Bombyx mori: one gene and its partner. The protein of the gene in region 2 interacts with the protein of the main gene of each other region in a biochemical or structural test. Links are inferred from orthologs where the notes say so. Each region holds a gene or a part of one and is shown on either strand. Other genes may lie near its edges.

The links.
Region 1: the proteins of nuclear pore complex protein Nup154 (region 2) and mRNA export factor Gle1 form a complex in vitro, tested with the Homo sapiens proteins (2 studies listed by BioGRID). The link is inferred for Bombyx mori from reciprocal best matches to the Homo sapiens genes NUP155 and GLE1.

The regions. Positions count from the first base shown.
Region 1 is NC_085131.1:3,947,475-3,952,031, forward strand, and holds mRNA export factor Gle1, read right to left. Parts: upstream 2,911-4,557; 5' UTR 2,647-2,910; coding exon 649-2,646; 3' UTR 360-648; downstream 1-359. Other genes in the region: DNA polymerase epsilon catalytic subunit 1, read left to right, coding at 3,652-3,734, 3,809-3,932, 4,248-4,466. UniProt on the Homo sapiens protein: Required for the export of mRNAs containing poly(A) tails from the nucleus into the cytoplasm. May be involved in the terminal step of the mRNA transport through the nuclear pore complex (NPC).
Region 2 is NC_085116.1:9,158,193-9,160,811, forward strand, and holds the end of nuclear pore complex protein Nup154, read right to left. Parts: intron 2,302-2,619; coding exon 2,121-2,301; intron 1,455-2,120; coding exon 1,383-1,454; 3' UTR 531-1,382; downstream 1-530. Other genes in the region: neural cell adhesion molecule 2, read left to right, coding at 1-52, 123-203.

The DNA of each region.
Region 1 (4,557 bases), on a different chromosome or scaffold from region 2:
CAGCGAATAGATAGGAAAAAAAAGAGGTGGCTACGTTATATAGTAAGAAATCAAAGCAGTCATATTGATGAGTTTGACTGAATGACGAACGCATGATGAAGTAGGCCACTTATTGTTTTAAATCCATCACCATAAATAGTTTATAAACTGTAAGGTTAGCGAAAAGTTTAACGAAAAGCGTTAACACCGAGCCAAACAAAATCATATTTATATTCCTCTTGATCCTGGGAAGAAAATGAAACCAGAGTAATGAATACTCATACATTTTTTGTTTATAAAAATTAAGTTATTGAGAAAGATCAATAGAGATCAGTCATCAGTCAAAGCGTGTAAAAAATGATGGGGATTATTAAAGAGAGTTTCTTGGATAACATTTAATTCACATTAATTGAATATTTTCAGTGCATTGTTGAAAAAGTTTAAAACATAAGTAGGCAGAAATTTTATTATTATGATTTACAGTCAAATTTAAGTTTATGATTGTTCACAATGAGTACACAGCTTAAATAATTAATGAAATACATTCAAATCAATTCACTTTATTTTACTCGTTCGACATAATAACACTTTTAAACATGCACTATCATTGATATTATTGTCAATATTTCATAATTGGATTGGATAAATTTACAAATAATTGAGAGATGTTCACCATATATCTGATTGTAACAAACCACTGGGAGGATCAATGTGTCCGGTCTTCAGTATGTTTTGTAAGAGTACTTCCAGTCTTGTTTTCGGCCCTCCTTCATCAATGTTTTGTAAAACTTCCAAATAATCTGTGCTAATTAATTTTATTAACTTAATAAACTGTATCTTATAATGTAAGAGAAATTTAGACCCACACACTGTAAAGAAATCATAAAGAAGAGTGGCAGATATATCAGGTTCTGGTTTCAAGTTGATGAAAGATGCAAGCCACTGCCATCCATATTGTAATCCATGGGGGTTAGGTATGTTTATAAATTTGGGGGTGCTCATTATCCAAATAGCACAGATGAGTCTAAAGATACCTGACATTCTTTTCAAGAATTTATCTTGTTTTTCAACTACACCTTCATCATTATATGTATACCCTCTAGACAAGTAGAATTCCTTATCTGTTTGACCTTCTTTTTGGGGCATAAACATGGGAACTAAATAAGGGCACTGCTTGTGAAAATTGGCTAGCAATAATTTTCCAAAATCTGGGAAAGAAGCCCAAAGTGCTATAACTACAGCTGCTAATGGGAATGCAGCTTCAGGATGACTTGAAACCAATAACTCCCCTTGCCTCACTATTTTCTTGGCTAAGAGTGCTGTACAGTATGCCACTCCATGTGGATGCTGAGTTACAGTAAAATATATGTCTAACACTTGAACACTCTCTCCTTTGAGTAGTTTGTACAGCTTTTCATATTTGTCCTTCATGTGTGTACTACTAACTGAAGACAATGCATTCACTGGAGTGTTCACAGCTTTTTGGCAGTCAAATCTAAACTTTTTCATGTTTACATTCTCTAATAAATCACTGTATTGTGCTTCATAACTTATCATAAAGTTGCTTAACTCTTTAAAATAGTTGTAGTTTTTACTGGAGTAGAACATGGGTTTGACCTTTGTTTTATCAGGACGAACTATTTTAACAGTTTTTGTCACCTCAGGAACCTTTGTTTCTTGCGCTTCCTTTTCAGCCAACTCTCTAGCTTTCTTTTCTTCTATTTCTTTCAATTTCAATAATTCCCTTTCATTATCTTTCAAAATCCTTTCCTTTTCTTTAATTTCATTAATTTCATTTAAAATCTTTTTTAGTACATTTTCTAAGTTCAAAGATAATATTTCTGCTTGTTTTACCTCTTTGTCGGTAACAGATGCATTTTTACAAAGTTCCATGATAGCACTAATATTAGAAATGACTGTTTTGATAGTCGGTATGTATTTGTCACAAACCTGTTGGGACAGAGGCTCCGAAGCTATTACGTTTGTGATTTCATTATAACAGATGCATATTTTAGTATGACTGTCAGTTATTGCCGCAAATCGAGCTGTGGCTTTATTTTGTTCTTCTAAGATTCTATTCATATTGTCAATTGTCTGCCTGTTGATCATTGCACTGTTGTTCTGTTCATCTAATTTGGCTATTTTTAATACATTTAAATTGTCATTTTCATGAAAATCCTTCTGTAGCTGTAGTTTCCGTTTATGGTATTTCATGTCTCTGCGCTCACGTTGTTCGCTATACTTCTGAAAGCATTTGTTCATTATTTCCGCCCTTTTACAAATCATCTGTTCAAAAGATTTTCTGAAAAATTCCACTGATAATTGATGCAACTGTGCTTCACATTCTTTCATTATGAGATTATAACCGAGATCCCCTCGGAGCTTATCTTCAACAAGGTCCTCTGGCAACGGTTCAATTTTGGCGGGGATTTGTTTTTCTTCATAAATTAATTCTTTCTTTGCAGGACTGTTAGGTCCTATGGTCGCTTCTTTTACTAAAGGACTTAATTCAACGGCTTTAGTAAGGGCTGATATTCTTAATTTGCCAAACCCCGCTAAAGTTTCGTCAATACTAGAATCTCTCATTTTCGAAGTAATGCTTCTATTGAGAATTTCTCCAAGTCTATCATTGTAGCTGTCGTAAGATGAATTCTTTGTACTATTCATGTGTATCCCTTAAAAATACTTGTAAATGTACATATTACTACTTATACACCTGCACCTGCATTGTACAACCATTTTACCAGACCATAAACTTCTTGTTCTTTATTTTTTGGCTCCGGCACGGTTTGTGCATAAGCCAGCGTCAAGTAAAAAGATTTTTACAATTCGCCGTTTTAATTATTTACAGTTTATAAATTATGAAAAAGAACGGAAACTAATCAGGACTTAACATAAATGATTAAAAATGAATTAAATTTACAAATGTGATAATGAAATATAATCTCAGTAAAATGGTGGTCATTTACTGAGACTTTTTCAGTGGACTTTCCCAGCTATAATCCAAAGAGAAACTCAGCGAGCTGTATCTATGGGCTAGATTGCACGTTGAACTCTTGTGTTATACATTTTTGGGTTTAGAATAAAAACTAAAAAAGTGGTTGGCATATTATAAAGGGATGTTACGAATGCCTATTATTACCACCTTGGTTGTAGAAGAACCTATACAATATACTTTAAGACGATAATATTTTAAATATTTACGAAAATATTTTTCTTTTCAAAATTAAGTAAAAATATAATAATTTATGTCTGTTTTTTCATAAAAAACGCCAATCAAAACATAATTACGTATAGTCGTACTGAAGTGAATGAAAAACAATGGAATTGAATCTCATCAAAAAAAATTCAATTTAAAATATTTGTCGTATATAGAATAGACAAGGCTGTATGGGCTTAGATCCCTTTCTTTTCCTAATAAGGAAAAATTGCACGAAAAAAATTGTCTCTGGTCGTCTGTTTAGTTCGAAAAGTAAAATCAATTTCGCGGGAAATTTGACAGCGCTTAAGTGTCACTGCAGAAGCTCTGAATTGTTATTGGTCAGCTGTTTGAATCTATTTGTTGATACAAAATAATTTTGAGGAATTTACAAGGAGGTTTTAATATTATTAAATTATCTTGGATAATAATGGTACGTGATTAGTTTAATATTGCGAGGTACTTTTTTAATCATGGTGCTTCAAAATACTGGAAAATACCGACCCGATAAAGATGATTCTGCTAGAAGAGAAGGAACTTCTTCAGGTGGGCTCAAGTAAGTGTAGAAAGAACATTTATAAAGTTAATGCATTTGTGATATTAATTTAACGTTAAACTTAATGTTATAAGGGAAGAGTCATCGGAAACTAGAATTCGTGCCGCTCTGGAGAATGACAGAATTGACTCAAAGTATGGTTTCGATCGAGTGAGAGATTTAAAAGAAAGGACTGGCTACTTGATCAATATGCACACGGTAATTATGATTTGTAAATATTTAAATTCACATCTCCTCAACCATGAGAACGAGTATGCGTAAAGTTTCAATTTTGTAATTACTTTTTGTAATTTCAATATTGTAGAAGACTCCTACATTTAAAACTACAACACTTGTATAGTAAATTTCGTCATATTACCTTTTCACCTTGGTGAGTTGATCTCTCTTAAGAAAACACAAATTTTAGTTTTTGCATTAAAATTCATTTATCAGTGTAATAAGTAGTAATTACTTGAAAGACTTACTTGCTCCGATAAGAAGGGCTTAAAATTTATTATTAAACATTCCAACTAGGCTGAGGTACTCGATGAAGACAAACGATTAGTTGCTGCCATGGATTACTATTTCATAGAGATGGACGGTACCAGATTCAAAATTTCATTAATGTTTCAACCATATTTTCTAATAATGGCCAGAAGAGAATGTGAACAGGAAGTTATACAATACATCTCTAAGAAGTTTGCTAGTTCAGTGCAAAAGATTGAAGTATTGGAGAAGGAAGATTTGGACTTGGTATTTTGTGATAAGTTATTTCTATTAATTGTATCATTCAATTTATATAAGCTATTGTTAATTTGTAAATTGAATTGCTGAATATTATTCA
Region 2 (2,619 bases):
GACGCAAGCGAGCGTGTACACGTATCCTGACGACGACCACCGCGGGCACCAGGTAAATACTAATCCTTTTGAAGACGATTCATCATAGTCGAATGTTTTTTAACGAATTCTTAATTTTAAAGGAAACGCCGAGCACTCTCGGAACCGCTAGCGTCATACCCACTTACAAAGCTTATTTTACCCCAAGAGAGTGCGGACTGTAATAGCATTATGTACTTTTTAGTAACAACGATTTCAATATCATTTTTAGGATTTTAATTTATTCGATACTAGCGACCCGCCATCGCTTCGCTCCGGAAACTGTAATTTATTATTGATTTCTCCACTATTTAATGAATGTTATTTATTATACATTTAACTTTCCTCTTCAATCACTCTACCTATTAAAAAAAACCGCATCAAAATCCGGTGCGTAGTTTTAAAGATTTAAGCATACATAGGGATACTATGTAATGAAGATGAGAGAATCTTACACCTTTTACCAATAATCTAGATCTCACTATTCAGTAGATTTAATAATGAAACGAATATTGTTACACGATAAATATTTATTTACAAAAATAGAAACATTTTTTTTTCTTCACAAAATCAGTTAAGAATTAAACTAGATCACTTTTCGAAATACATGATTAAATGAGGTATTATATTATATGGAACAATAACCGTGACTATTACATTATACGGTACAAAACATTTTCATTATAATTCAATGTTATTATCACTGCCAACGGAACAAACAATTCTGCCAGTTAATTATGTATAGTCTAAATATTTGTGCACACTAAAATGTTATTAGTTATATCTGAGAACTGTACCAATGAAACGAAATAAAAAAATAAACAAGCAAGATTCCATGTTTTTATTTATGATCAAATTATTCAATATTTATTTTTATCAACAGTCAACAGTTTTTGATTTTATTTACTAACAAATAGAATAATACAGCTAATTAGAAATATTTTATTGAAACCAGTTTTTGGTAAAATGTCAATCACGCAAAGAAATTAAGCTCTCATCACATTTAATAACCTAACATAGTACAAACAGGCGAATTAAGAGGCAATATTAAAAATAAGTGAAAGTTATATGAAAACTATCACTCTGTGTTTTGAATTAGTAACCAATGCTTAAATTCATTTGTAAACTTTATCTCTGTGCTTTACTCAAAGACGCTCAGCTATAGATGGGATACTTAATATTAGATATATTTTAATGAATATTTGCCCAAAGTATACGTACATTGTTTAGTATATAAAAATTAAAAATCCATGTTAATATATTAATATCAGTCTTGAACAAAAAAGGTGACGAAATCAGACTGAACAGAATTTAAAAAAAAATACTAAAATGTTTCAGTGAAAATAATAACTAAAAACTTATCATTAATCCATACGATCTAGGTGCGCCTGTGCGACTGACAACCTTTCTATCAGGTGTTGTGTGTTGGGACGAGCCTGTTAACAATGACATATTAAATACATTTCTGTAATATATTGGCAAATGTGACAATGTAAATGTAAAGGAAACAAAGGAATCATTAGATTAGCAGGCGAGAGTTACATCTTCTGCATGAATCCGTTCACAACAAGCCCGGACAGTTGCAAGGAATCTTTTGTACTCCCCATAATATTCGTTTTAGCAGTAAACACCACGACTTTTCAAATATGCATAAATAAACAAAGCAATGTATTTCGACAATAAACATACCATTACTTATTATATCATTACTAATACCAGGTCACCGTCCTCGTCGAACCCGTCGCTTGCGACGAAGGGCTCGACGAGCGAATTAAACCATAATAGACACAGCCCACTGAATTTCTCGACGGATCTTCTCAGTGGGTCGCGTTTTGGATTCGGTGGTAGATTCTGCGAAGCACTGCTCTTGCTAGTGTCAGTGTTAGCATCACTCCGGTTCGAGCCTCGTGAGCTCACCTACACGTTAGGGTGAAGCTGAAATAGCCTCTCAAAGCTATCAGCATAGGTATGATAAAAAAAAAATACTAACACAATATATTTATCGACAAATTCTTTTTTGATAAATCGAATTAAAATAATGATTTACAAAAGGTTGAAAGGCGTCTTCGTTAGTTCTAAAAGATAAGTCACAAAGTACGGACCTGAAGCGCGGACAGGGCGGCTTCGTGTAGGTCCTTGCAGCGGGCGAGCGCGCGGCGCCGCACGTGCGCTGCGAGCGGCTGCACGTGCGCGCGCGCCGCCTCCAGCAGCCGCGCCGCCGCGCCGCACGCGTGCGTCTCCTCGCCGCAGCCCAGCCACACGCGCTCGTTCACGCTCACCAGCCTGCGACCACGACAACTCTACATCTGTGTGGCTTAGTGCGAGCTTTTTAATGTTCTCGACATAGTATAAGTTAACTCAAAATTTGTATGGAGTTTAAACGTTTGCCTACGTTTGCCGCTAGAGGCGCTGTTCCAACTGTTGTAACTGAGACCTTAGAACTTATATCTCAAGGTGGCGTTTAAGTGGTTAGATGTCTATGGGCTCCAGTAACCACTTGACACCAGGTGGCAGCGAGCTCGTCCACTCATCTAAGCAATAAAAAAAAACTGTATACAAATTTGAGTTAACTTTTACGCTATCGAGAACGTTAAAAAACTC